Mus musculus: one gene and its partners. The protein of the gene in region 4 interacts with the protein of the main gene of each other region in a pairwise test. Links are inferred from orthologs where the notes say so. Each region holds a gene or a part of one and is shown on either strand. Other genes may lie near its edges.

Region 1 (4,010 bases), on a different chromosome or scaffold from region 4:
AATCAACTAAGCAAGGCTCATAGGGGCTTGTGAAGACTGAAGCAACAAACGTGGGTCCTATATGGGTTTGAGTTTGGTCTTCTATGTACACTCTGTGGTTGTGTAGCTTGGTGTTCTTGCAGGACTCCTAACAGTGGAAGTTGGGGGATTTTCTGACTCTTTTGCCTGTGTTTGGGACCCTTTTCCTTCTACTGGGTTGCCTCGTCCAGCCTTGATATGAGGGAGGTGCCAGGTCTTATTGTAACTTGTTCTGCCATGTTCAATGGATAGATATCCCTGAGTGACCTGCTGTGTTCTGGAGGGAAACAGAAAGAGTGTATCTGGGGAAGAGGGGAGGTGTGAAGTGGGGGATAGAAGCTGGGAGGAGAAACGGAGGTAGTGACGTAATGGATGAGAAAAGAATACAAAGAAAGAAATGTGAACCCTGTGACTGAACCTGACAGCAGCTCCCACTAACTGCAGTAATGGTCAGCAGCCTGCACACTTAGTGACAGCAGCAATGACACAGAAATGCATTTTCTATTTGTTCTAGAAACAAGATTTCTAGTCATTTTGATACATGGAAAGAAACAACAGTGAAAATATTAAGTTCACCAAAATAAAAGATACAAAATTCATTGGGAGCATTAGAAAGTCCAATGTCCAACAACGTCCCTCGTCCCCAGCTAAGAGTGAAGCAGGGAGCAAGAGAGACTCCTGTCCTCAGACCCCAGGAGGAGGGAAGGCCAGTACTACTTTCCCACTATAGTGTTCCTTCAATTTCTAACATAGTAAAATGCTTTAGAAAATAAGGCCTGGGGCTGGAGAGATGGCTCAATGGTTACAAGCACTGGCTGCTCTTCCAGAGGTCCTGAGTTCAATTCCCAGCAACCACATGGTGGCTCACAACTATCTGCAATGGGATCTGATGCCCTCTTCTGGTGTGTCTGAGGAGAGCAATAGTGTACTAACATATATAAAATAAATGAATCTTTAATTAAAAAAGAAAAGAAGGCCTTTTCCAAACTTTTCCTTTTCTGTCTCCTTACTAATTAACCCTTTCTAGGACTCCAAGGAACAGAATTAAGTTGTTTAAACACAAGAAAATAAGGCGCAAATTTCCTGAGAACTGATGTGGGCAGCAGGAACACAGGCTTACCTTGATAAGCCCACTGAAGGAGCGTGAGCGGGCTCTCTTCTGGACCCTGGGAGTAGAAGGTTCTCTCCCTGGTGTTTGAGTCAGAGACTGCTTATGGAACTACAAAAAATACAGAGACCATTGTATTAACATTGTGCCATCAAGAAACAGCAACCTAGGGCAAATAATACCTGAGTGAAGATACTTAGAAAGTCAAAGACTCCCTAGATGTATAGGGTAGGTTCACAGGCAATCACAAAAGCAGAAGGGACATTCAAAAACAAAAACACAAAATATACTCAATTACTTGAAGAAGTCCTAAGACTCAGATTCTCTGAACAAGGGATGCCCATGCCTGCTTTACAGACAGGAAACCAGGACCCACAGTGCTTAAGAGCTTGTCTCAGACCTGCTAGCAAACCAGAATTATTTTTGCATCAAGTACCTTGGAAGCAGAACATAGCATAAGCCATGAGAGTCCCCAGTTTAACAAACTATATGCCAGGATTTATTTTAAGATAGAGTCTCATGTAGCACAAGCTGGCCTCAACTCTCTATATAGCCAAGGATGACCTTTAACTCCTAATCTTCCTGCCTCTACCTTCCAAGTCCTGACATTATAAACCTAGATGGCCATACCCAGTTTATGAGGCATCAGGAATCCAACCTAGGGTGCATGAATGGAGGACAAGCCCTCTACCAACTGAACTCCTAAGCCAGAATGCTCCTAAGGTATTGAAACTCTCTGTCAGCCAGCACTGCTATGAAGGGAAAGAGATTGAACGCAGACTTTGAATGCTGTCAGCTCTTTGTATAAAGACATCTCCAGTTTAAAAAAAGGGGCAGCAGGGGGAGGCACTGTAGTCTTTAACCAAGTTCTGGTTGTCCCAGAACTCCCTATGTAGAGCAGGCTAGCTGAACTCACAGAGATCTACCTGTCTCTACTTCTCTACTGCTGGAATTACAGATGTCTAACACCACACTTGAGTTCTGCTACTCTTAAAACCATCTCTATGGCCATGACAAAACACTTGTAGAGGACTTTGTCCATTGATGGGAACAGCTCAGTCCCCAGCAGTGTCTGATACCTCTTTATCTTGCCTTATGCTAGAGATGCACCCCTCCCCCCAAAATAAAGGCAGTCTTTCCCAAAGAAGGAACAAGCTGAACAAGAATGAAGAGCTGACTACTGCGGTTCAATCTACAATGTCCTCCAAAGCCAGGGGTGGGAGGTACTGGCTCACAGGGGCACGGCCTCTAAGGGGTACTATGACACCTGGTCATGTGGTGCACTGCTTTGCCCTGCTCATGCTGGTGCCTTAATATCAGGCCTCCCACAGGGCCACTCAGTCAAGGACAGAAACTTCCACCCCTGTGTGCCAAGTGCAACTCCTTCCTTTCACATGTTGACTACCCCAGGAGTCTGCACAGGGAGTGAGGACTGACTGATGCACTGGCCTTGCCTGAACAGCACAATCCAAAGGAACTAAGACAAATCTCCTGAGAGACTCCCAACCAGGAAGGATTCACTCAAGTCATACTGAGTCCTCAAAGTAGCAAATGAATGACCTAACCTTACCTCCAAAACCCCAAAATAAGCAAACGCAGACACCAGAATTCCTGTTTAATACACTAGGACCCTGTTTTAGGCTGTTTTCTAACCACAAACAATCCATCCATCCATCAGGAAGAGCTGCCTCTTTTGCTCTGCCAGCCTCTCCTCCTTTACAAGCTCTATGTATGCATGCTACAACTGTTTCACAAAGCTGGAAATGGAAATTCAGAAATTATATCCCTAGGGAGCACACAGCACTGCAGTCCTGGAATGGTACGTTGGAGCTGCTGGTCCACACAAACCCTGGAGCGTTTTTGTCAGGTGACTAAAATTACAGATGTTTAAGCACAGCTAACTGCAGAGAGTCAAGCACTCTGACACCTCTCTCCAGAACTGCAATTCCACAGACAAGCCTGATTTTTTTTTTGACTGAGCCAAAGCCTGTTCCAATGTGATTCTGAGTGGTGTTCTCCAGCGATTCCTAGAGCCCACCTATGTCCCTGTACCCAGGCACCTGTCTGAGAAGTTGTTTCTTCTTCGCGGAGTCTGGCCAGTTATGAACATGCTGGAAGAGTTCTCTCAGCGCCTCTTCTGTGTGCTGCTGGGTCTCCTCCTGCTGAGAGGAAGGATCTACCCTGTTCTGTCTCTGACATCTTGCCAGCTGGAAGGACATGTTATGACATGAGGTTGTCAGATCAAGGTCATCCTAAAGGAAAATGTATAAAACATGCAGTTAGAATTCTGCCAAGCCAGGCAGTGGTGATGCACGCCTTTAATCCCAGAACTCCAGAAGCAGAGGCAGCTGGATCTCTGTGAGTTTGAGGCCAGCTTGGCCTACAGAGCCAATCCCAGGACAGCCAGAGCTACATAGTGATACCCTGTCTTAAGACACCAAACAATATTGCCATAAACAATTGTAGCTGTTTGAGTTCGATTTTCAGAACACTTTTTAATTTCAAGTAGTACTTGTTGCTATACAATAAAGTAAGCCCCAAAGTATTAGTCCCAGCAGATAGAACAAAAACAAGAAACAAACAAAAACAAAGGCTTAAGGTGAAATTTAACTTCATCCAGACACTGAAGTGATAACCAACCATAGAGCCCATGGCTGCTGGGCCTTGGCTGAATCTCTTTTCCACACAAACTGCGTGGAAGGAATAAAAGCAACAGCTCTCCAAAAACACCACGCCTAGTTAAACTAGGATTAAAATGCAGTTTCTTACTTAGTCACACCTAATATTCACTGAATGAGAGAAAAACCACACAGGAGTAGAAAACACAGCATAAGATGGCAGCCTCCACGTCTGTCTCTCAGGCTACATCCAGGTCAGCCACATG
Region 2 (4,669 bases), on a different chromosome or scaffold from region 4:
ACTGAAATATGGCATAAAGAAGTTAACTTGCCTAATACCAACATCATTAAAAGCAAAGCCTTGAGCCGTATCAAGGCAACTACACTTCAACTGGCATCCAAGCATCCAGAAAAAAATAAAACCACAGCAGCAGTGGGGGTACTGTTTGTTTGTTCCTGAGACAGGGTCTCTCACTATGTAGCTTTGGCTAGCCTAGGACTTGCTATATAGACCCACTAGTCTCACAGAGATCTGCCTGCCTCTGCCACCCAAGTGCTGCGATTAACCATTTGTTGCAGAAAATCTGACACCTTCTTCTGACCTCTGCAGGCACCAGGCACACAGATAATGCACAGATGGACATGCAATCAAAATACCCTTACATATAAAATAAAAATAAGTGAATCTTTTTAAAATTAATTTCATCTATTTATTTATACTGTTTAATGTGTCTACTAGAATATTTTAAATTAGGCAGTGGTGGCACACGCCTTTAATCCCAGCACTTGAGAGGCAGAAGCAAGCGGATTTCTGAGTTCGAGGCCAGCCTGGTCTACAGAGTGAGTTCCAGGACAGCCAGGGCTACACAGAGAAACCCTGTCTCGAAAAACCATTAAAAAAAAGAATATTTTAAATTAAATATGTAGCTCATTAATTTCTACTAGGCAGGGGCTGGTATTGCATACAACTATATTCAAGGTTTTTTAAATACATTTTTGGCAGTTTCATTTTATATCCTAAGGGGGCCTCAAATTCACTATGTAGTTCAGGATACCCTTAAACTCACAATCCTCCTGTGTTAGCGTCTGGGAGTGATGAGATTACAGGTATACACCACCACACCCAGCTCGATTTTCAAAAGACTTTATAGAATGAGCAATCATAAATACATCAGTAAAAGAAAATATAAACTTGGATATTATAATAATAAATCACAAGGGCATCTATATAACAACAAACTAAAGAAGCTAAAAGTCCAAACAAAGGAAAATAAGAATTTGTCTCCAAACCTACCATATGAAAAGGTATATGTGAAGCTTACTCAAGGCATGGTCTCATTATACTGCCTAGGATGGCCTCAAACTAGCCTCCTATCTTTCAGGAATTGCTTGTGTGTGTGTGTGTGTGTGTGTGTGTGTGTGTGTGTGTGTGTGTCTGTGTGTATGTTTGTGTGTTTCCGCACACGTGTGCACTTATAAGTGCATATGTGTAACATGTCACCAGTATAGAGGTCAGAAGACAATCTTCCAGAATTTCTTCTCTCCTTGCACCATGTGGATCCCAGGGATCAACTCGGGACACCAGGCTTGGTGGCCAGCATCTTTACTGGCTAAGCCATCTCACCTGCCCTTACAGTTAGTTTTTCTAACAGTAAATAAATTTTAAATTTCTTAAAGATAAACTTCTTTATAGCCCTGAGGTTGAATGGCTTGTGGATGGCAGCATTTTTTTTTCTGAAAAAAATCATTTTACAAGCAGAACATACAATACTTCGTTGCCTTGATACTATAGAAGCAAATATGCTCGTTCCTCAAACCCCTGCCTTAGAGGCAAGCTAACTGCCCTTATTCAGGCCTTACAATTAGGACAAGATAAGATCTTAACAGCCGCATCATCTCCAAGAATAAGTTTATATTGTTAGCTGCCCATCTGCTTGCAACAACTTCCTGAATGTCCTTTTTTTTTTTTTTTTTTTTTTTTGGTTTTTCGAGACAGGGTTTCTCTGTGTAGCCCTGGCTGTACTGGAACTCACTCTGTAGATCAGGCTGGCCTCGAACTCAGAAATCCACCTGCCTCTGCCTCCCAAGTGCTGGGATTACAGGGATGCGCCACCACTGCCCAGCTTAAATATACTTTTTACACAGTATTTTTTCAGGTTAAACAGTATGATTCCGCATCTCCTAAAATTCCTGGGGAAAAGCTATAGATTATGACCAGAAAATAAGCTATGGATTGTCAATTTTGTTTCCTTACACTAGTTCATAAAAGGTTCCAAATATTATTTCTGGTACATACATGAGGAAAACTGGTGCACTGAGTACTGTGAAAAGACAAACTTATGAGACAAACTGCACTGCTGGGCCTCCACTCCAGGGATTTACATGTGGAAGGCAAACACTGCCACAGAGCTCTCTCCGAGCTTGTTTTCATTTTGTTTGGTTTTGTTTTGGGAAACAATATTTGAGGTGTTGCTCCAGCCTTAGTCTTACAAATGCTGGGATTATAGGCCAGGTGTGGTGTTTGACACCTGCACTCTGGAAGCTTAGGTAGGAAGATTGCAAGTTTGAGGATAGCCTGGGCTACATAAAGTTCTAGGTCAGCCTGAGACACAGAGTAAAAACTCTGTCTCAAGAAGCCAAAGAGGAAGCCAGGCGGTGGTGGCAGAGGCAGGCGGATTTCTGAGTTCGAGGCCAGCCTGGTCTACAGAGTGAGTTCCAGGACAGCCAGGGCTACACAGAGAAACCCTGTCTTGAAAAAAAAAAAAAAGCCAAAAAGGGGCTCTTCCAGTCTCTTTGGCCTCGGAGGTAGAAGCAACATGACAAAAGGAACGGCATCCTTTGGAAAGCATCCCAAAAACAGGCACACATTGTACCGCCGGTCTCCGTGGCTCTAAGGACGACCACTATCAGAAATCTATCTGTGGCAAACGTGGCTACCCTGCCAAGCGCAAGCAAAAGTCTAACTGCAGTGCCAAGGCTAAGAGACGAAGTACTGCAGAGACTGGGCGGATGAGACACCTTAAAATTGTCTATGGGAGATTCAGACATGGATTTCATAAAGGAACAACACCGAAACCCAAAAGGGCAGCCGTTGCAGCAACCAGTTCATCTCGAGGATTTCAATCAGTCATAAAATAAATGTTATCATACAAAGCTTGCTTACCTCTGAAGTCCAAGAAGTAAAAGTCAGTAATGCGGTCCATTTTTTAAATGTCTGGCTCCAGCCTATGGAACACGAATATATTTTAATATTCTGTCCTCAAGTCTCTAATTTCTCAAAAAGACACTTCTGCCAGAAAACTATACCCATTACTTATTACCTGAAGGTGCAGGGACGTTGAGGAAGCTGCAAATCCAGGAGAAAGTTGTTAAACAGGGAGGCGTCTGCTCTCCCACACCCGAAACGCTTGCTGGCGTCTCGCGTCTCCGACTCCGTCTCCGTCTCTCCGTCTCTGGTGGCCCGAAGCCGAGGCCGGAAGGAGAGATTCACGCTTTACCAGAGAGTCACGCTCTGTGATTGGTCTGTCTGTCACTCAGTGCCCCGCCCTCGTCGTGCAGACAGAATGAGTCACGCTCTGTGATTGGTCTGATTCAATGTTCAAAAACTCTCGTGCGCATCCCATCGGCCCCTCGTTCTTGGATGCGGTTTTTTTGGCGCCTTCTTTCCCGCTCTTGCACGCCTTTCCGCTAACAGTCACTGAATTGGCGCTGAGCTTCCCGCCGTCCATAACCCACCACCACCCCCCATCATTTAAATGACCAACTTCCGCTGCCCACAAACTTCTCGTTCCAAAGATATTGCCTCAAAGCATCTCTAAGAAGTGGCGCAGCACTTGGGAGGCAGAGGCAGGTGGATTTCTGAGTTCGAGGCCAGCCTGGTGTGAGTTCCAGGACAGCCAGGGCTATACAGAGAAACCCTGTCTCGAAAAACCAGAAAGAAAAAAAAAAGTATGTTCAAATGTCTGTTTCTTCTTGCTAGTTCTAAAACCTGGGCTGCAGATGTGGGGTCCCGAGTTCGATAACACACACACTTGAAGCTCTGATGTCATAACACACACACATACACACTCATACATATACAAGATGAACGAAACCACCTGACAAGACCGGAGCACTTGCTATCCATTAAAAAGCTCCCCGTCTCTGCTTCTCGTCAAAAGCCACTCCCGTTTGGCCTTTACGGTATATTGATCCTCCGCCTTGGAATCCTGTCTAGATTCTCTATATTGGATAAAACCAGAACAAGACTATCAGGACAAGGTCTATGATGTAAGACCAAAAGTGCACTGCCCTTAAAGGAAAGGACAGATGGCCAGGATTACAGAAAGAAAAGAATAAGAATTCACACACATGCACACTACAAAGATGGCGGAGGAATAGTAGACAGCGCTGCTCAGTGTTTCAAACTGGCAAGGTATCCCAACACAGTAGCACAGGCTTGTAAAGTCTCAGCAGTCAGAGGCTAAAGCAAGAGAATCCCTTGAGCCCGGGCATTCTGGATCAGCTCAGAAGCGTAGCAAAACCCCAGCAAAGAAATAAGTAAGTCGTGTCAAAATTCAGAAAAATAAGAAATTGTGCACTCTGAGCCAGGCGTGGTGGCGCACGCCGCACACCTTTAATTCCAGCACTTGGGAGGCAGAGGCAGGCAGATTTCTGAGTCCGAGGCCAGCCTGGTCTACAGAGTGAGTTCCAGGACAGTCGGGGCTACACAGAGAAACCCTATCTCGAAAAAACCAAAACCAAAAAAAGAAAGAAAGAAAGAAAGAAAGAAAGAAAGAAAGAAAGAAGGAAGGAAGGAAGGAAGGAAGGAAGGAAAGAAAGAAAGAAAGAAAGAAAGAAAGAAAGAAAGAAAGAAAGAAAGAAAGAAATTAATTGTGCACTCGCCAGGCAGTGGTGGCGCACGCCTTTGATCCCAGCACTTGGGAGGCAGAGGCAGGTGGATTTCTGAGTTCGAGGCCAGCCTGGTCTAC
Region 3 (4,010 bases), on a different chromosome or scaffold from region 4:
TGCCCAGAGAACATGGCCCTAGACATGCACACCTCCTTCTTAGACTACCAGACAGGAAGATAAGAGCTTACCTTGCTGTAGGTTGTGCATATTTCAGTCTGACCACCTGCATTTTCTGGAAAGAGAAGATGGTGCAGGCTGGGTTGAGCTGGCCTGTAGGTCCAGCCACAGGCAGAATCCAGAATAGCCACTCTTTGTGCTATGGCTGGAGTACACAGGGAGCAAAGGCAGGTTGTTTGGAAGAACGTAGAAAGGCAAAGGGAGGCCAATCTTGGTGTGAGCTACACTAGTTGGCCATGGGCACAAAGGATGTGTAAGGCACACTGGGTGTTAATCTGCAGACAGGAAACTCCTCTGTCCACTAGCCAATAGTGCCAGTCACAGGAGAACAAAGGATCATCCCAGAGGAGATAAGGCTCTAAGGCTCTAGGGAGAAGACAGTGAGCAAGGACACTGCCAGCCCAAGCACTACACTTGGCTGGCTTCTCCTCTTTCTTCCTTTCTTTTTTTTCTTATTTATTATTATATGTAAGTACACTGTAGCTGTCTTCAGATACCCTAGAAGAGGGCATCAGCTCTCATTACAGATGGTTGTGAGCCACCATGTGGTTGCTGGGATTTGAACTCATGACCTTCAGAAGAGCAGTCGGCTCTTAACCGCTGAGCCATCTCTACAGTCCCCCTCTACTTTCTTCATACAGGCAGGTAACTGCATGTCCCTTTAACCTGAGGGGACTCTCGACTCACCTTTCTTTATGGCCAGTGGGATCTTGAACTCACAGCGGTGGTAACTAGAAAGAAGACAGACAAAGATAAACCCGTTTCTCGGGAGGCCTAACCACTCTTACATCTCTACTCAGCATCCCAGAAAAGGCAGAAGCCCATGTTACCTGCCCAAAGTCCTAGCTTGGGATCTTTCACAACATTCACTGGGAGGAAGGCCCAACTCAGACACTGAAGCCCAACAGAAAAGCACATGGCTTTCAGGTCTAAAAAGACTACTAACTATTGCTATAAGCGATAAAAGTTTCTGGTCGGACACAGAGACTCATACTTGTAATCGCAGAAGGAGGAGGCTGAGAGATGAGGATTGTTTTGAGTTTGAGGCTGGCCTAGGTTACACACATGCACCAGACCATAAGACCCTGCCTATAAATGCTAACAGTACACACAGATGTACTGGGCAGGGGCACAGAAGGCACCTAGCATCCATTTATTTCCCACAAGCCAGAAGTGTCAGGTAGAAGCCGTGAGTGCCTTGAGTGCCGACAGCCCACTCGAGGCACTGGGTTCAACGGCCAGCACCACATTCAGCCCCAAGTTCTGTTCCTCTTGCTCACCTAAGGTATACTCACATGTTAAAATTATAATGCCCAGGGTAATTGGTATGCAGGACAAACTTCTTCACTTTGTGTGTATTTGCATCAAACAGGATGTCCTGACAAAGGAAACAAGGTGTTCAAGTATGAAAAGTCAGCAAGGCAGGTCAGGGGCCTTTCCAAGAGAATTCCAACTTGGAGCATTCAATCATGAAAACACTAGGAACTTCCTTCACATATTTAGAGGCCTTAACCAGGCATCTTTGGTGGAGGGGGCCTGGCAGGAACTGGGGTTCTAGTTCCACTGTTGGCAACTTGAACAGCAAGGAAGGGAAATCTTATTTTTCCAATGGGACCTAGCATTTTTTTTTAGTCAAATGCAGATTCCGGCTCAAAGCCACCAAGAAGACTCAGGGCAGTTTACTCTGGAAAGGTTCAGATACCCACCTACGGAAACACTATAACCAAACGGATCCCAGCTTCTATAAAAATTGACAAGTAATGGAAAATAACCATTTATCAGAATTGAAACCTGAATTTGATGCCATATGCTAATCATTTCCTCTTGTAACTACTAACTTTCCTAGGCACTAAGGGTAATTTCTTGCTCTGTCTCTTTACCAACAGAATGCAACCTAAGCTATCCATTGTTGCCATCTTCCTCACTGGTCCTTGAACTCTGACTCTCTCAGCCCCATTCCTTCCTGGCACCTGCCATCCTACCCTCAGAAGTCTGTCCTCACAGAGCTCCCTACAGATTCCTGGCTTGTGTAGGTTAAGCAGCCTTTTTCTCTCCCTCTCTATAATCTACTTTTCTGCCTTTAGACTTCAGAACATTGAAAGCTCAAAGCCACTTGAGGATTCATGGTCCAGTTGGGTATAGTAACACATGCCTGTCCTCACAGACACGAGATCATTGTTAAGTCTGAGTCTAGCCTTGGCCACACAACAAGACCCTGTCTCAAACCAAAGTTAAAAAACAATGATGACCGACGGCACATGCCAACTTGGCACATTTATACAAGCATCCTATCTACCAGCCAGACTGTCCACAGTCCCCATATGTGAAGGACTTTCCTCGGGACAGAAAGGCAAGATGTACCAGGAAAGCCAGTATCGCAGCATTCCTCCATAGTCTTGACTACACTGGGATACCAGAACCCATGAAAAATAGACCGGGCACAAGCAAAAAAGACAAAAGTTCTCTGATTCCCGGGAGGAACGGTCACACAGCACCTGACAGCGCCCTGCCTACGCCAACAGCAGTGAAACCCGTTAAGGCCTCGTACTTACCACTCCGAGAGTAAAATAGTTAAAAAAGTAGTCGTTGCACTTGGACGGAACTTGTTTATGAGGGGAAGGAGAGTGAATTTTCATCTGTTGGGGGGAAAATAACAAATTAAAATCCCTTTAAAATAGCCTCTAGTTATACTGTGCTCCTTATGTAACACTAAGCTGTTGGATAAGTGAGGCTGAGGAGCCAGGTCTGTTAGTGTGGACACATCTCCAGGTTACAGAGATGGTGCCGTTACACCGGAGGGCCCGCGGGAAGCTTTTCCTTCATGGAGAACAGACTATTCAGGGGCAGACCTCATCTATGCTGAAGTGCTGAAGTACTGGGGACACAGAGGCTATTCACACTGTAAGTACCTTTCCCTACCTTGTCTTCAGATTTATAGAAGACTTTGTGTGGAGAGCCAAGCATGCTAAGAACATCTTGGCAAGAATCACCAAAATACACCGCACGCTCAAATACTCTCATTTTGGCATCTGCTAACACTCCAGGTCCACAACCTGCAGACAAGGGAAAAGAAGGTTCTGCTCAGAGCTGGAGGCACTGTAACCCAAGGGGCTCCAAAAAGCTAACAACTACCTCCTGACCGATCAGATCGAGCCAAAGGGCAAGACTATTAAAGTGTAAGTACCGGATTAACAGGTTAATTAAGCAAGACTTTGAAAAATCACTATTTGAAAATTGTACCAGGGATCCTAGAGGATTACCTAACAATCTTTAAGTATTTATTTTCTTTTTTTATCTTTAATATGCATTTCTTTCTGAGCCTGCTGTTGCATACCTTCAATCCCAGCCCTCAGAAGGGTTTCTCTGTATAACCTTGGCTGTCCTGGAACTCTCTATAGACCGGGCTGGCCTTGAACTCAGGGATCTGTCCACCAAGTGCTAGAACTAAAGGCATATGCCACCAGGCCCAGCCTTTTCTTTTGCTTTTGAGACAAGATCTCACATAACCCGAGGTGGCCTCAAACTTGCAAAGGAGTCAAGGATGACCTTGAAATCCTGATCCTGTGCCTCTGCTATCGGCGCTATGATTATACGGGCAGTGTGACACATGCTCAGGTTACCTAGTCGTTCTTCATTACCTACCATGGGCTAGAACACTGTGCTAGGTGTTGGGGAGATTCTGGAGAGTAAAACTGCCTATGTCTCCCAGAAAGGTCTACTGTTAAGAGTTTACATAGATATGGTATAAACAGAGGCAGCTGTGGGCATTACAAACATGAATAAAAAGCCTCAGACTTGTGGTCCTTCTGTCCCAGCCTCCAGAGTGCTAGGGTTAAAGGCATGTAGTACCACACCATGACAACATCAATTGTACCCTCAAGACCACTTTTCCAGAAGAGTCACAATGACATATGTGTTGGTTCACTTCTTAACCCTACAGAAAGTCTGAC
Region 4 (4,010 bases):
TAACCAATGAGCCATTTCTCCAGCCCCTTTCTTTTTATTTTAAATAACAGTTTTACTAGGGCACATAAAGTGCCTTCCCGCTCCCCCATCTCTCTTGAGGGTTTCATTATGTGGTCCAGGCTGGTCTCAAGGTCTTCCTAGGTCAAAGGTGTGGGCCACAGCACTGGGATAAAACTGCACATAATTATATTTCCACTTCTACAGTTTGTCGTTTCAAAGAATCTCTATCACCCACATCAACATGACCGAGACTGGAGCACCCTCATCAGAGTCCCGTCTCCAGGTCCCTCTGTGCCTTCTCTCCAACTTCAGCCCTACACAAGCACTAGTCGGTCTACTTTCTGTCATTAGGTCTTAGCTCCCATTTCTGAGATTCATCCACGCTGCGAGTATATTAGCAGTTCATTCCCTTTGACTATATAAGCTGGTTTTCAATAACCTTTAGCAAGCTCTAACATTCTAGTAAGGCCTTACGTGACTAGTTTAAAGCCACGTTCAGTGGTAACTGTGCACAGATGTAAGTACTGCCAGACACTAGAATCGCCTAAAGAAGCCCATCCCGTAATGCGCATTCCCACCATGATCTCAGGCTTTGTTGTAGTACTATGCTAAACACAAATCGTCACACAAAAACATATGTAACGGTAACCACATATGCACTGTTTTTACTACAAAATTTTCATTATGACATAACATATATAGGTTTATTTTTAAAAATCTGAAGAGAAGATGATTATCTTCTCTTAAGCTAGGAAATTTTTATCTGTTAAATTGAGTCCAGACTTGGGTAGAGTGCACAGAATCCTAGGATACATTCCAAAGAGACCAATATCAAATTTTAGTTTCAAACAGAGTACAGATTATGATAAAAGGACAAGAAAATAGAAGATATATTACCTGCTTGCCTAATTTTCTAACTGTAAACCAGTGTTCTTTATAATTGCATATAAAGGATCTTTCGTTTCTAGAAGAAAACAAAACATATACTGTTAAGTTGGGATAGTAGAGATGTACTAGCAAGTATCTCCTATCATTTACTTAATGACATACTTAATTACTTATTAATACTTAATTACTTATTTGAAAAAATAAAAGTCGCATCACTATGCGTCTCCCATAGGAGCTTAGTGATGCTAAGCACAAAGCCCCCACAGGACTCAGGGCAGGGCCACCACTGACACTGAAGAAAGGCACCAAAAAGGTGACGGGGTGAAGTCTAAGGGCATCAAATACAGAATAAAGCAAAGACATTCATGATGATTTTGTCCTCATTCAGAAATTACAGCTTTAAAAATCAAATCTAAATAAAGAAATATAGGAAAAAATCTTACATAGGATCAATTCTGAGCCTCTGGTACTCTGGACTGTTGAACAGGATTAGTTCTAAACCCCAAACTTTCAAAGCATTGCTTATAACCTGTCAAAAGAAAAATAACAACTTTTCATGAGCTAAACCTTCAAGTCCAAGTTTAAGTAGCACAGCTACTATAAGCAACTATTCTTCATATATAGTTTGAGGATATAGCTTTTACAAATTATGTTCCCTTGACACCCCACTAAATCCATAAATAATATATACATGTGAACTTAATTTTATTTCATTGCAAGTTTTAAAGATGTATTGTTTTATTATTTTTTATCTAAGTGTGTCTGAGTGCCTGTGGAGGCCAGACGGCATCAGGTGTCCATGTAGGAGCTACAGGCAGTTGTAAGCAGTCTATCGTACATGCTGGGAACTGAGCCGGTCTTCTTCTGAAATACCATTAAGCATTCTTAAACGGAAGCCATCTCTCCAGCCCCTCACATCCATTTTGAAAGAGAGCTTTTCCATTCTGAGGAATGTCAGAAAAGCAGAGAATTTGTAGATAACACTGTCTCACACATCCAGAAGCACGCCACACTGTGGGTGCTGTTTGTAAAACTATCCCTTCCTACACTTACTACCTGCAATGGCAGTCACCAAAGGTGTATAGTAAATAAATTCTCCCTGGGGGTTGAAAAGAAAGGTCTGGGCACTGGGGAGATGACTGTGGTCAACAGTATACACTGCTCTTACAGAACCCAAGCTCAGTTCCCAGCACCCACGTCAGGGCTCCCAACAGCCTGTAATGTCAACTGCAGGGTTCCAGTGCCCTCTTCTGTCCTCCACAGACACCAGCACTCATGTGCACATATCCACACATGGGCACATAAATCTTTAAAAAGAAGGTTTGATGTATTTTAAACTTCCATGAACAGAAAATCAAACCTGATGATAGCAAGCTGAAAAAAAAAAAGAGAGAAATTAAGACAACATTCCACCTGTTATCCCAGGAAGTCAACAAAGAAACATGTACAACTCAGACCAACTGCAAGTGCGAGAGAGCAGAGATGGAAGCAGTGCCACACAGGACACCACAGGAGACTGCTGGCTCTCACCTGTACTCTCAGCACAAGCCCACTGGGCCTCACAATGTCACAAGTGAAGTACTGGGTGGAAATGCTAGAGAATGAGGACTCTAGAAGGGTGGCATAGAAGGAAAGTATAAAGAAAGACACTTGCATAAGTAGATCTCTCAAAAGACAGATTCAGAAAGAATTTGGACAACGCTCACATTGTCAGAATGGACTTCACAAGTACACAAACGAAGTCAGGCATCCGTGCCCAGACTTCAACCCCAACAACTGGGATGCCGCAGCAGGGCTTTGTTCAAGGCCATGCCATGCTAGGCTACAGAAGGACAGACACAGACACACACACGTATATGCATGCATGTATGTATGTATGTATGTATGTATGTATGTATAACCACAGGGCTGGAGATTTTCTCTAGAGCAGAATATTGTCTTAGATATCATCCCCAGCACTAAAAAGAATAAACCAACACAGATAAATAGAACGTAAAGTACTGGGATGTGGCTCGGGGTCAGTTTGAGCTCGGCACATGCAAGGCCTTGAGGGCAATCTCCATACCAGCCTTCAGAGGGCTACAACCTACCCAACAGGAATCCAATCCTGGAGGATGATTTAAATAGAAGACTGCAAGACACTGCAATTTCTCAGACATGCCAGAGATGGGGAGTTTGAAGCACTGAAATTTATTAGAGTTATTAGCACCTACATGCAAATTAAGCAATCTCTCTTAGAAAGTAATTTTTAAAAGCCCCACTCTAAACTGACTGTGGTAGCACACACCTATAATTTCAGTCTGGAGACACAGAGGGGAAGACGATCACAAGTCTCAGACCAGCGAGGACTGTATAGGCAGCAAGGGCCTGCCTGTCCTAAGCATGTGAGCAGTCAAAGCCGTTCTAAAGTGAAGAGTCTACTGTCCTGTGGTCATCTCTGTACGTGTAGCACTCTGCAGTGTCTTATCTTCTGCAGACAGTTTACAGAAGGAGCTGCAGAAGCCTCCATCGTTACATAAAGAGCTGTGGCACACTGTGGCACATCAACCACAACTGAGCCTCAGGACAAAGCGGGGCTGGAAATGAGGCAGCGCTGCACTCTGGACTACTTACTTGAATAGAGAAAAAGCCGCTGTCATCCATATTTCCAGAAGGCTGCTGTTCAATTTTCATGGGCAGTAGTTGTGGGCAGAGGGGGATGGGAAAAGGGTTAAAATTAGTGTGCACGTTTAAAAGAACACGCTGTACAACCCCATTTCCCAAGTGAGGAGGAGCAGAGTGATAATTACCGAGTCAGACTCCTGGGGGAGAACGGCTCATCCTCCTCTAAAGAGCACCCGCATTTCCACAATAAAATGGGGCTCAGTGAGTCGAAAATCAGTACCTGTAAAAATGTGCGGTAGTCTTCACTAGTGACTCCCCCTTCTGCCATTCTCAGCCTCTCCTCTTCATCCAGCTGGTGTGCAATTGAGGATAGCTCCACAGGGCTAAAATACTCTCCTTGCAATAGGTTATTCAGGCAATGCTGAGCACAAAGTGAGCCTTCTTGCTAGTGTTTCCAAAAGAAAACATTCAAATGTCATCAAGCCGATCTGTACAATATCTCCTAAAAAATGTAATTA
Region 5 (4,010 bases), on a different chromosome or scaffold from region 4:
CTGGAAGAGCAGTCTTAACCACTGAGCCATCTCTCCAGCCCCCTTTATCCCTTCCTACAAGACACACTGCCCAATGCCTGCTGCACCTGCTCTAGGGATGCTGCTCTCAGCTTCATTCTGCACTAACCTCCAGCCACAGCTAACACTTGAGGAATTCATCTGGTGGCTCGTTTACCAGCTGGCTTTCCAGTGGACATTCCCTAAGGACAATGGCTCTCTCTTCAGGTCCCAATCTATGAGCAAAGAGGTCTTTGCTGTTGTTTTTTGACTCAGGTAGACTCTCACTTATCCCACATCACATAGCTGAGAATGACTTTGGCTTTCTGAGCTCCTGAGTGCTGGGATTACAGTAGCACCACCACACTGGATTTATTCGGTACTGGAGATGAAGCCCAGGGCTTCCACATCCTAGGCCTGCACTCTATTGCTAAGTAACACTCCCACTGTGGGGTTCTAAACAGGTGCTCTGCCACCAAGCCACACCCCCACACCCTCACTAGGGGGTTCTAGGCAGGCGCTCCAGTTTTCTCACTGTGTCGTCACTGTGAGTAAGGAGGCGTGAGGCACAGAGCAGTGGGTGGATACTGTTTACTGTATCCTGTCACACAAGGCATGTACCTTGTCCTGGACACACATGGCCTCACAGACCCCTACCCTAGGAAATATAAGGGCAAGATGGACAAGAGAAAGAAGGCATGGGAAAGCCAGGCCAGGATTTGTGCTCAAAGGCTGCACAGGGTTAGATTGCAGGAGTCCAGACTACAGCAACCTCCCATTTAGCTGTAGTTACCAGCCCTTGGTGGCCTCAAACCTCCGCTATACCTGGTTCAGGGTTTTCTGCAAGTGTGGGGTGCCCATGCGGTCAGCCATGTGCCGGTAGGCTGGGTGGGAGAGGAAGAATTTCCTCTCGGCTGCCAGAGCAGCCCGGATGTCCTTTTTGCCCTCGATGTCTTTCTGGCTTCGGTTAACCACGCCGATATAGCCTGAAGAAAGAAGGTCAAGGTATGCGTTACGCCAGGAAGGACATGGTGCTATGGCTTTGTGCTGAGCTGGCCAGGTGGAGACTAGAAACAGACTGGTCCAAAAATCACTCACGAGAGCGGGCACAGGGCAGCACTGAGCCCCACCAAGGGTGTGAATGGCATGGAAGGTAGCTGAGGAAAGCATCGTGAACTTCAAGGGCAGGTATGAGTGGGCTGGAGGTGCAGTTCAACAGGGACTGCCCCATGTAGTTGACTCCCTTTCTGGTCCTGCATTTCATCCCCCAGCCTCCACTAGCTAGGGAAGACTCAAGCAGCAGCAGTGTCTCTTTGTTATGCTTTGTTTGGGAAGCTGGGGAATGAGCCTGGTTCCTTGCATGTGCTGAGCAAGGGCTATACCACTGTAGTGGCTATTCCTGGTTGTCAACTTGACTATATCTGGAATGAACTACAATCCAGAATTGGAAGGCTCACCAGTGACCCTAATTTGGAGGCTGGGAGATAGAAGTTTCTGATCTGAATCTTGGTATGGAGATCTTGAGGCATAGTGGCTATGGATTCCAGAAGACTGGGAGTTCAAGGTCATCTGGGATTAAAGGTGTGGTGGAACACACCTTTAAACTTGGCTACACCTTCTGCTGGAGACCATATAAGGATATTGGAAGAAGGGAGTCTCACTCTTGCTCTTTCGCCTGCTTGCCATGTGGGGCTGAACAACTGCTAGGTCCTTGGACTTCCATTCACAGCTACTACTGAACGATTGTTGGGAATTGGACTGCAGACTGTAAGTCATCAATAAATTCCTTTACTCTATAGAGACTATCTATAAGTTCTGTGACTCTAGAGAACCCTGAGTAATACAACCACTGAGACTCATTTCCAGTAACTCAATCTATTTCTGATGAAACATTCTGTATTTGTTTGTTTGAAACAAGGTCTCATGTAGCCCAGGCTGACAGAGAACTTTCTATGTAGCCCAAGATGACCTGGAATTCCTGACCCCAACCCCACCTCCAGAGTGCTGGGATTACAGCAAGTACCGAGCACGAGTGTGGCTGCATACCTGCTTCTTAGTGTTCCAGAAAACAGCTGTAATGTAGAAACACTGTGTCCAGAGGAGAACCACAAAAGATACACCCCTGATCTGTGGCCCACCCCAGCCCTGTGTACATACCTCTTCTCAAGGGCAGTAGCTTGTTTTCCAGGACATCCCTGGCGTCTGTGCCTTCATCCATCAAGTCTAGCTTGGTGATGACACCGATGGTCCGTAGGCCTGAAAGAGTCCAGAGGTCAGAAGGGATCATGATCAAGGGCCCTTGGGGCCCTCTACAGTCCAAGAGACAGGGACAAGCCATGGTATCTTTTGCCTGGACAACTGTTGGCAGAGTATAAAATGACAGTTACTGCTCTAGTGACAGAACACTGGTAAGCGCATAACAAGACCCCAGCAGAACCAATGAACATCACGGAAACTAGAATCCCCCCTGCCCATTCTCAACATCACATTTGAACCTGAGCAACCTGGCCCAATTACTACTCCAAGGACCAGCCCATCAAAGTTCTCCCCAAGTCAACCAGAGTTAGCACATCCCACAGCAAAGCCACACCACCAAATAAATCCACTGTGCTTCTCAGCCTCCCTTGCTCCCGGATCCCTAGTTTGGGGTCCTGACCACGGTTCACCCGAGCAGTTTATAAGCTGAGCTTCCAAGCCAGGGTAGAAGCCCATGTACTCCATGGACTTGCCTTAGCATTCAGAAACCCTAGGTCGACCCTGTGCCAGGTGAGGTGCGGAGCACTTGCCAAGGAGCCTGGGCTCTTTCCTAAACATCTGGTTACACTGAGCCTGCAAGGTGTGCACCCGTGACCTCAGCCCTCGGGAGGTAGACTCAGGAGGATCACAAGTTTAAGGTCATCTCCCACTAAACAGAGTTTGAAGCCAATCTGGACCACAGAAGATCCTGCCTAACTAACAAGAACCACCTGATACATAAGGAACCCAGGCACCGGCTTGGACACACCTGTGAATGTGTTGCCTGTATGTTCCATGTGTGCAAGACACACAGAGGCTAATGGAGGCCCACAGAAGACTGGGATCAACTTGGCCATCACAGGTGACTACCTTAGCTGGCACTATTGTGAAGTGGGTACACCTATAAGAATTCATAGTTGATAGGGAAGAGGCCACACTATGGAGAGAAATGAGTGGAGAGGGGCCTGAGCCATGGTTGCCCAGGAAGCCAGCTGCTGAGAAGAGAGACAGTGAGGGTGAGGAGAGGGTAACTGTACAATGGGGCCTGCCCACAGAGTAACACACTATCACTATAATATAAAGTAGGGCAAGGCATGGTGGCTTGCTGTAATCTTAATATTTGGGAGGGGGAGGCAGGTAGAATCTGATACTGAGACTGCCTTGGTCTACACAGTGAAGTACAGGTAAGCCAGGGCTACATTCTGAAACCATGATTGAAAAATAAACAAAGAAAAGTTGCAATCAACAAAAGCAATGACCACAGAGGCACAGACAGAAATAAGGAGAGACTGTCCTCTTAAAAAATAAGTTTACGTGTAAGAAAAACTTTGAAAGGAACTGTGGCCAGCGCTATCTACATGGAAAAAGGGAGCTTTGCAGGCTCCTGATTTTTCCATGGTAACTTTTCTGTAAAAACCATGAGTATTTTCAAAGGCAAAAAAAAAAAAAAAAAAAAAAAAAAAAAAAAAAAAAAAAAAAAGAAAAGAAAAAAGAAAAAAAGAAAAGAAAAATGTGCTCACAAATGGTGACCGCCTGCACTGCCCTGCTAATGTTTGCCATGGCCACGCCCACTGTGTGTGGACAGCGGACAGCACGGCTGGATGGGCTAAGAAGCTCCTGACGAGGGCACACAGCCCTACCTGCAGCTCATTCTGCGGCCTCACAGGCCTCCTCTGCTCAAAACCCCACCCGGACTCTCCCAGGGTGTGTGCGCCCTTCTCTACTTTTCCAGGTTTTATTTCTTCTTGTTTTTTGAGAGAGGTTCTCCTGTAGCCCAG
Region 6 (4,010 bases), on a different chromosome or scaffold from region 4:
AGAAAACTAAAGATTCAAATTGCAAAGAAATAAAATTTAGAAACATTCCTTTTGACAAATGAAAAGTGTAATGAAGTAAGAATAACAGAACTTTCCCATAGGAAAACGAGGCCCAGATGGCAACTAATAAAGTCTGCCAGCTCCTTAAACAATCAAGACCAATTCTTAAATTCTTCCAAAACTACCCTCTACTCCTTCTGTGGGGCCACAATTCCCCAATACTGAAACAATATATCCACCATCAGGAAACTACAAAGTAACAGTTGTTATAAAACAGACAAAAAGTGGGCTTTATCCCAGGTATGCAAATGATGCTTCCATATAGTATAAACTACTTGTAAGAATGAAAGATGATCCTTTGATAAACTTAGAGAAAGTATTTAACTTGTTATGACAAAATCTTCACACCCTGACACTGAAGAGGAACTTCCCTAACCAGCAAGCTCCATGGGAATAAACTAACAATGAGTTCAGCAAGATTTTGGGGAATATAAGATCACCACAGAAAACCAAACTGTTCTTCTCTGCAACTAACAATGAACATTTTGAAAATAAAAAGAACAATTCCTAACAGCATCAAAAAGAATAGTTCTTAGGAAATAAACTCAAAAGTAATACAAAATTTTAATTTTTTTTGTTTTTTGAGACAGGGTTTCTCTGTGTAGCCCTGGCTGTCCTGGAACTCACTGTGTAGACCAGGCTGGCTTCAAACTCAGAAATTCGCCTGCCTCTGCCTCCCAAGTGCTGGGATTAAAGGCATGCGCCACCACGCCCAGCCTAAAATTTTAATTTTTAATTATTACAGCTACAATATATCACTGACCATGCCTTGGTAAGAATTAAGTTGTTTTGTTTTGAAATGATCTTACTACAATCTTAAGACTGCACCTCCCGGGTATTGCATGCTGCAATCCCAGTGCTTGCAAAATGATGGCCGAAGAATCAAGACTTCAAGGTTATCCTCACCTACATACCAAGCCACCATAGGCTACTATATCAAGATTGCTCAAATGACAAGCCCAAAAACCAAAAAGAGGGGAAGAAAAGATAGAGGACATTTCTCAAATTCATTTCCAGAGTAAGCATAATAAGGGCTCTACACTCAGCCAGAGTTCACCCCCTGAAAATGGACAAGCCGACCCTGAGGCTTACACAGAAGAATGAATGAGGATCTGAAACAGCCACAGTTATTTTGTAAACAAAATTGCAGCACTCCACACCCTCTGATTTCACACTTGCTGATCAGTCATTCTCTGCCGGAGAAATGAGTCAATTCAAGCCAAATTGGGGGAAGCTCTGGGGTAAGTTCACCAACCTTACAGGAGTGAAGCAGACATGCAGACAGGGAGACAGAAGGGGGGGGGGCAAATATTGATTTGGGGTGTTGGAGGGGAGAATTCAGAGAGGAGAACAAGGGAAGAGAAGAAGAGGGGAGGGGAGGGAACTAAAATGTCTGGGTTATATAGTGAAGAGCTGGTGGGTGAGAGGAAGCCCAGCCCATGGGTTGTAAGGTTCAGCATACATAGTGGGGTACACCAGTCATGGCCTGTAACAGGTAGGGACTGAGGGATGCTGAGAGAAACTGGAGGCCTGGTACACTTTGATATGTTAAATATGCACTTCATATTGCAGACCACTTGTCTGAAGCCTGAAAGCCTGAAACCTTCCTGGAAATGTACAGTAAAGGTGGTGGGGAATGAGGGACTGGCCTCGATGGCTATGGATAAACATAAAGCAAAGGATTAAAACTGAGCCCCAAAATAACCCTGACACATCCATGCACCACTGACCGGCAGTTAGTCCTTACCACAAGAACTCAGGATGGATCACAGCCCGACACGTAAGAGCGACCTGTGAGCTCTTTGAAAGAATTGGAGACCTGAACCTGACTTTCACATGGATTAAGTAATGTTCTATATAACACCAAGAAAACAGACCAAATAATAATAATAATCACAGAAAAACAGAAAAGGAAAAAAGCTACAATGAGAAACCAATTGAAGCCTAAGTACAGAAGAAAATTAAAGCCAGACAAGGGCAAGCACATCTTTATCTCAGCAAGAGAGCAGAGGTCTCTGAGAACACAGGGCTCTATCTGATTAGCATCCCCAAACACTTCATAACAATGTGAAACAATGTAAAAAGGGAGGGGGAAATGGAGCTACTGATCACAGCATTACACACAAGACATAGGCTGTTGCAGGGCCTAAGGCTGTACCAGTCCACTTGTTACGACAAAAGAGATGGGTAATGTCTCATGTTTATTGTACACCACTCACACGTAATTTATATACATAATTCATATACATATTTAACACTTTGGGGACAGTAACAAAGTAAAATTTAAAATATGGGAAATGAAGGATTTTTAATTAGTTTGGATGTTTAGTGCTTTAGTCATACTTGATTTAGTACTTGAAGTACTTTAAGGTACTGGAGGCTGTTACTGGGGCCAAGAAAGGACAAAAAGCAGGGGATGTGGCTAAGAGAAACAATCTCTACTGCAGTCCCTGGGACAAAGGAAAGAAATGCCACAGCTGCATGGTAGCAGGAGCCACTAGCCCAGGTGCCAGGGTGACCAAGGAACCCCAACTGTACCTAAACTCACCCGTTCTATAGCTTCTTTCTCCTGAGGTGTTACTTGAATGTAATTCATGTGCCCACTTCCAGCTTCTGCAATTCCTCCACCGCCTCCTCCGCCACCGCCTCCTCCGCCACCACCTCCTCCACCTTGACTGCCTGCTTCCTGAACTGGTTCATTCAGCATCTGAATAAAATGCTCCTGGTGTTGGCTAATTTGCTGTAGTGATGGAGAAATGGAAGAAATAACACATAATTACTGTCTGTGGAAAAAAAAGCAAACCTAAATAAAAACAAGAAAAAGATAAGCCAGGCACGGGGAGTCACACTTTAATTCCAGCACTGGGAAGGCAGAGGATCATCTTAGGCATGGCTGAGTCATATAGTAAATTCAATTCCAGACCAGCTCTATCTAAGAGTCAGAAAGAAAGTTAGTTTTAAGTGATTTCTTATATTAAGAAATCACTTAAAATATAAATATAAGAAACACAACAGTTCTGAAAGGTAAATGATGGAGAAAATACAAATTCTTCCAAAAATACTCCACTCCCAAAACAACATTAAAGAGCTGGGGGTTGGGGGGTTGGCAGACGCCTTTAATCCCAGCACTCGGGAGGCAGAGGCAGAGGCAGGCGGATTTCTGAGTTCCAGGCCAGCCTGGTCTACACAAAGTGAGTTCCAGGACAGCCAGGGCTACACAGATAAACCCTGTCTAGAAAAAAACAAACAAACAGAGCTGGGGGGGGGGGGGCAGTGTGATGGCTCAGTGAGTAAGTACACTGACTGCTCTTCCGAAGGTCCCAGGTTCAAATCCCAGCAACCACATAGTGGCTCACAACCATCCTTAATGAGATCTGACGCCCTCTTCTGGTGCTGTCTGGAGACAGCTACAGTGTACTTATTTATAATAGTAAATACATCTTTGGGCCAGAGTAAGCGGGCCTGACTAGGCCAGACTGGAGCAAGCAGGGCTGACCAGAGCGAGCAGAGGTACTAAATTCAATTCCCAACAACCATATGAAGGCTCACAACCATCTGTACACGTACAGTGTATATATAATAAATAAATAAATCTTAAAAAAGAAAAAGAAAAAGAAAGAAAGAAAGCAAAGCAAAGCTAAGCTAAGCTACCATGGGGGCTGGAAAGATGGCTCAGAGATGGTTAAGAGCACTGACTGCTCTTCCAGGGGTCCTGAGTTCAATTCCCAGCAACCACATGGTGACTCACAACCATCTGTAATGGGATCTGATGATGCCTTCTTCTGGTGTGTCTGAACACAGCTACAGTGTACTCATATAAATATAATAAATCTATCTTTAAAAAAAAAAACAAAAAGGGGGGCTGGTGAGATGGCTCAAATCCCAGCAACCATATGGTGGCTCACAACCACCTGTAACAAGATCTGATGCCCTCTTCTGGTGTGTCTGAA
Region 7 (4,638 bases), on a different chromosome or scaffold from region 4:
TTTTTCTGAGACGGGGTGCAGCCCTGGCTGTCCTGGAACTCACTCTGTAGATCGGGATGGCTTTGAAACACCCGCCTTTGCCCCACAAGTGTTGGGACTAAAGGCCTGCACCAACACCACCTGGCCTGAACTCACCTCTTAAAATCGACTCTTTCAACCTTTCTGCACCTCATGGGACTACTTTCCTTCTACACTTTTAAATTCAGAGCTCTGATTACCAATAGTATCAGTAAACTGTTCAAAAGATATCTACAATGAAGAAAATAATCCTCTAACAAAATTCTGAAGCATTTCCAATAAAGCTACATTTTCTGTGGTGGTGAAGTAGTGGTTCTGAGATAGGATCTAACTACTTAGCTGGCTGACCTTAATTAGTTATATAGACCAGGCTAGCCTCAAACTTGCTACAGACCCCGTATGGCTGTCTACAACTAGTGTTGAAATTATAGGTGTGTACCTCCATGCCTACTTGCTACCTTCCTTTGTCTACCTTTCTGCCGTTTATTTGTTTGTTTATTTATTTATTTATAGACAGGGTCTCACTATGTAGCTTTAGCTGGCCTCAAACGCTGCGCTCCCCAATCTAGGATTAGATGATGACTGGCTACTTGCCACATTCTTTATATGAAAAACAAACAACAAAGCAAATACTGCAACCTACATTTTGTTGAGGTTTCTGTGTAAAAACGACTTTTTGAGTCATTGGCATTAAGTTTGATGTTTACAAAGACTTACACAAGAGCAGTTATGTAAAATTGGCAATGCTGATACAGAACAGCCAACCACTTGAGACGAGGGTGCTGCCAAAGGATTTGGTAGGCTAAGGAAAAAGCGACCCCCCCCCCATGTTTATCTACCTACAAGCATGACACTGAAGCAATGGTCAGATAATTTAACAATTGAAAAAATAAGTCTTTAAATGCCCGGATACGTAAACACTTCACACACACACACACACACACACACACACACACACACAGAGCAGGCTGAGAGATTATGATGTAGGGGCATCCTAGAATGCTAATGTTTTACTTTTTGTTCTGGTAGTTATTTAGAGACTGTAATTCTGCTTTACTGGACACACTCTATAGTTACTGTTCTACAAGATACAGAGGAGGGAAACCATTACTCCCCTTAGGCAGTGGCTTGCTTCAGGGCAGCCATTAGCCAAGCTGAATAGGAAGGTTTAGGCTACATAATTCCTGTAGCTAGCAAGGGTAAGTTTGTTGGGACCAAAAAAAAAAGTTATTTTAAGAACTGAAAGGCTCAAGAAAAAAAATTTTTTTTCTAGGACAGGATTTCTCTGTGTAGCCCTGGCTGTCCTCAAACTCAGAGACCACCTACCTCTGCCTTCCCAGCACCGGTGCATCGCCACCGACCCTTTAAAAAAAGTCTAAAACTAAGTTTTTCAGGAAAGCCCTTAATAAAGTCCCCTCAGCAGGGCCAGGACTGTGGGTATAGCAGAGCACACTTTTCAACTTAAATTTGGTTCAGGGTGCTATCAACATTTTCTGATAACAAAGATGACTAAAAAGTGGCAATGATCTATCAAGCAGAAAAACTGCAATTGCCTTCTTGGGCTTTAGAGGTTAAGAGAAGGGTAAAAGGACCACCAAAGAAACCATTTTCCACTAGGATATATTGGACTGTAGTCGTATCTCAGTCTTCTCTTAGGGACACTTTGGGTAGCCTGGTACCAAAAGCAAGCTGTTTACTAACTACATCGTTTGCGTCGTCAAATTGTGATGCTGGAAGCTTTCCTAAGCCAAATGAAGAACCCAGAGCTTTTCCTGTCACCCCCACTTGTTTTCTCCTCCTGCCTCCAAGGCCACATCACCAGACCCTAGATTCCGCTAGAAGCAAAAACAAAAACAAACAAAAAACCCGCCACTGTGCCAGTTAACTGTATTCTAAACTGCAGGTGAGGGCTAGGCTACACTTATTCTCTCGGTAAGGACCACAACATAACCATCACATTCTAGAGTTCCCGCCCTGGACTTTCAAAATCCGCTATGGGTCTCTTCCCCTGGCCTCAATAGGGCCAAGAAATAAATCAGCCGGCTAGCTTAACGAGCAGGCCTACAGAAACGTGGCGTGCCGAGGCTTTTCTGCCTCTCCTGGATCAAAGCTGCTAGAAATCTCTTTCTGGAAAAGAGTCTCCTCTCCGGATCCAGACGGACCTTGTTATACAACCGATCCCCCGCGCCGGTTGCTGAGAAAAGGACACTGGGAAGCCACTGCTTTTTGGGTAGGGAAGGAGGTGGAGTTAACTCATGATTAAATCGAAGCCTCTTGAGTGGGGAGCACGAAGATTTAGGGGAACCAACTAGGTCCTCCGAGGGGGCAGCTTGGTCGGGCCGGGCCAGGCCTGGGGGATAATGGGGCTCCCCTCTTAAGCCGGCGCCCCTCAGCTTACACATTCGCGACGGCTTTTTGTTTGTTTTTCTGAGTCCCTACACAGTAAACACTTGCCCTGGGGCTAGCGATGGGAGGAGACGTTCCACGGGAAACCGGCCACGGCTTCTCGAGCCGCCATCAGACACCTCGCTTCACGCGCCTTCGGGGTGATGGGCTCCAGGCCCAGCCGCGGTCCCCTTCGGGCCCTCGGAGGCCCTAGGCCCGGCCCACGTGGCGAGAGACCCGGAGCACCCGGCCCCGACAACCACCACACAAAGGAGGCCTGGACGGGCTCTGCACGCCTCAGCTACCGCGAGGCCCTCGCGCGCAACGCGGCCGCCAAAAGGTTCCAGAACCAGCCCGCCTAGTGGGGGAGGGGAAGGGAACGCGGATCCCCCACCCCCACCCCCGAGCTCGTCGGGCCGCGGCGGGAACTCCAACCCCTTTCGGCGACTTCACTCAGTCATCCCTGCCACCCCCAGAGACGAGCGCCTCCCAGTCTGGGTGTCCCAGCTGTCGCCGGCGGGACCGCGATCCCACTCCGCTTACCCGTGGACGCCATTTTCTCGCCTTCCTCCTCGTTCTCTCAACGTCCGTCTCCTTCTCGCGTTCCCCCTAGGCGCCGCACTGCGCAGGCGCGAAACCCGCAACCTCGGACGCTACCATCGGGCCAGGCCTCGGGGGTGGCCGAAGAGGAGCGAACCGGAGCTCTTCGGCTCTTCGCTCCCGAAACCGTTGACCCGATCCTCTCCCAAAGAGCCGGACGTGACGAGTGGTCTAAAAAAAAAAGGCGCCTCGGGGGCCAGCGCGCCAGTGAGCGAGGGTTACCCACGAACCCGAGAGCTCCTTGGCGCGAGGCGCGGTGGCTCGGAATGGTTACGCCCGCTGGCTCTAGGGACCGTCTCTGAAGAGTCTGCCCTGGAGGGAGACGGAGGCTGGCGGGAGGGCTGGGGGAAGGGATCCCGGCCGGCCTGAAACAACTGCTGACTAATCGGCGGGCGGGATCACGCGCCTCTGTGTGCGTGCAGCGGGTTTCGGGCACCGAGGGCTCGGCCTGGAACCGGCGGCCGGACTTACCGGGCGGGCCCCCCTGCTCGGTTTTCTAGGGTGGGTGGGGGTGGGAGGACATGCTCCCCAGGCCCCTGGACGCGTGGCCTGAGCGGGCGGGGGAGGGGACCGAGGGCCGTCGGCTTGGGAGGGAGGCCGGGAATGCCGCGCCCGACCCCAGTAACGGTCGGGGTTGAGAAGCCCTGTGATCGTCCTTCAACCCATCCCCTTGTTTCAACAGAAAACCCAGAACCCACGAAATTGAGTTCTTTCCTTAAAGTTACAAAGCTGAATGCGACCCAGACCCCGGGCCTCCCCTCTCTGTACACCGCCCGGAAGCTTCGCCACACTGTCCTTGCCTTCCCACTCTGTCCTCCTGGCTTCCCTGCAAGGTAGGCAGGGTGTGATATGCATAGCTCTGAGGTCTCTGACAAGGGCTCCAGAAAGACACTGAGGCGGATTGTTGGCGATTGGTGGGGTTTTTGGTTTTGCTTTTCTGAGAGTTACTGACACAGTGGACAGACACAGACAAACATTAGCATGGCGGGCGAGGACTCGGAAGAAACCAGGGTCCATGTGGGAGAAGTAGGCGTGTCGCACCCTTCTGAGGATGGGCGTGGCTTCAATGCCGGAGCTTCTGGCCCGGGGCAGGCAGGGAAGGGAGCTGGGAGCCCGATGTGTAGCCCCCCAGTTCCCCATTTTATGTAAAATCACCTTCAGGTGAGAGATCCAGGCGTCCGAGTCTGTTAGTTCGCCACTCATAGTGTCTCACTAGAGGCCGGTCGGAATCTGAAGGGGAGAAAGGCGTGTATTGTGTTCTAGGAGGAGCAGCTGGATTCATTATTGGATTCTTACAAGTTACGTTTTATTAATTGAAGATATGGTTGCAGGAGTGTTACGGCTTGCCTATGATGTATGAGGCCCTAGTTTCCATTCCTATCGCCAAGAAAGAGAAGAGACTGGTCCAGAGGACTCGAGGCCCAGTTCCCTATGTCCATGGACCTGTCCCCTAGTGCCCAGGGATGGAATGGTTGTAAGAAGGTGCAAGAGGAAGCTTCATTTTAGGTGACCCTGCCTCCAGGTAAGGGTGAAATCTGCCTGCTTTTCTGAACTTCAACCCAGTACCAAAAATAAAGGGTGGAGTTCACCCCAGCAGGACCTGGGACTATGCTAATATGTCTTCCAATGAACACC

What was found.
Region 1: the proteins of Atxn3 (region 4) and Arhgap19 interact in binary tests that used the Homo sapiens proteins (3 or more experiments, as listed by UniProt). The link is inferred for Mus musculus from reciprocal best matches to the Homo sapiens genes ATXN3 and ARHGAP19.
Region 2: the proteins of Atxn3 (region 4) and Tex11 interact in binary tests that used the Homo sapiens proteins (3 or more experiments, as listed by UniProt). The link is inferred for Mus musculus from reciprocal best matches to the Homo sapiens genes ATXN3 and TEX11.
Region 3: the proteins of Atxn3 (region 4) and D230025D16Rik interact in binary tests that used the Homo sapiens proteins (3 or more experiments, as listed by UniProt). The link is inferred for Mus musculus from reciprocal best matches to the Homo sapiens genes ATXN3 and PHAF1.
Region 5: the proteins of Atxn3 (region 4) and Dnm2 interact in binary tests that used the Homo sapiens proteins (3 or more experiments, as listed by UniProt). The link is inferred for Mus musculus from reciprocal best matches to the Homo sapiens genes ATXN3 and DNM2.
Region 6: the proteins of Atxn3 (region 4) and Rad23b interact in a two-hybrid assay, tested with the Homo sapiens proteins (2 studies listed by BioGRID and IntAct). The link is inferred for Mus musculus from reciprocal best matches to the Homo sapiens genes ATXN3 and RAD23B.
Region 7: the proteins of Atxn3 (region 4) and Ewsr1 interact in binary tests that used the Homo sapiens proteins (3 or more experiments, as listed by UniProt). The link is inferred for Mus musculus from reciprocal best matches to the Homo sapiens genes ATXN3 and EWSR1.

The regions. Positions count from the first base shown.
Region 1 is NC_000085.6:41,777,972-41,781,981, forward strand, and holds part of Arhgap19 (rho GTPase-activating protein 19), read right to left. Parts: intron 3,379-4,010; coding exon 3,187-3,378; intron 1,238-3,186; coding exon 1,139-1,237; intron 1-1,138. UniProt on the Homo sapiens protein: GTPase activator for the Rho-type GTPases by converting them to an inactive GDP-bound state.
Region 2 is NC_000086.7:101,056,494-101,061,162, forward strand, and holds the start of Tex11 (testis-expressed protein 11), read right to left. Parts: upstream 3,147-4,669; 5' UTR 3,020-3,146; intron 2,925-3,019; 5' UTR 2,903-2,924; coding exon 2,863-2,902; intron 1-2,862. UniProt on the Homo sapiens protein: Regulator of crossing-over during meiosis. Involved in initiation and/or maintenance of chromosome synapsis and formation of crossovers.
Region 3 is NC_000074.6:105,245,524-105,249,533, reverse strand, and holds part of D230025D16Rik (UPF0183 protein C16orf70 homolog), read right to left. Parts: intron 3,114-4,010; coding exon 2,980-3,113; intron 2,697-2,979; coding exon 2,613-2,696; intron 1,439-2,612; coding exon 1,356-1,438; intron 792-1,355; coding exon 748-791; intron 206-747; coding exon of another isoform or gene 116-205; coding exon 72-115; intron 1-71. UniProt on the Homo sapiens protein: Plays a regulatory role in autophagic activity. In complex with BCAS3, associates with the autophagosome formation site during both non-selective and selective autophagy.
Region 4 is NC_000078.6:101,944,503-101,948,512, forward strand, and holds part of Atxn3 (ataxin-3), read right to left. Parts: intron 3,938-4,010; coding exon 3,773-3,937; intron 3,547-3,772; coding exon 3,502-3,546; intron 1,418-3,501; coding exon 1,332-1,417; intron 965-1,331; coding exon 898-964; intron 1-897. UniProt on the Homo sapiens protein: Deubiquitinating enzyme involved in protein homeostasis maintenance, transcription, cytoskeleton regulation, myogenesis and degradation of misfolded chaperone substrates.
Region 5 is NC_000075.6:21,469,586-21,473,595, reverse strand, and holds part of Dnm2 (dynamin-2), read right to left. Parts: intron 2,254-4,010; coding exon 2,155-2,253; intron 984-2,154; coding exon 823-983; intron 1-822. UniProt on the Homo sapiens protein: Catalyzes the hydrolysis of GTP and utilizes this energy to mediate vesicle scission at plasma membrane during endocytosis and filament remodeling at many actin structures during organization of the actin cytoskeleton.
Region 6 is NC_000070.6:55,384,200-55,388,209, reverse strand, and holds part of Rad23b (UV excision repair protein RAD23 homolog B), read right to left. Parts: intron 2,801-4,010; coding exon 2,609-2,800; intron 1-2,608. UniProt on the Homo sapiens protein: Multiubiquitin chain receptor involved in modulation of proteasomal degradation. Binds to polyubiquitin chains.
Region 7 is NC_000077.6:5,096,063-5,100,700, forward strand, and holds the start of Ewsr1 (RNA-binding protein EWS), read right to left. Parts: upstream 3,035-4,638; 5' UTR 2,960-3,034; coding exon 2,947-2,959; intron 2,744-2,946; exon of another isoform or gene 2,220-2,743; intron 1-2,219. UniProt on the Homo sapiens protein: Binds to ssRNA containing the consensus sequence 5'-AGGUAA-3'. Might normally function as a transcriptional repressor. EWS-fusion-proteins (EFPS) may play a role in the tumorigenic process.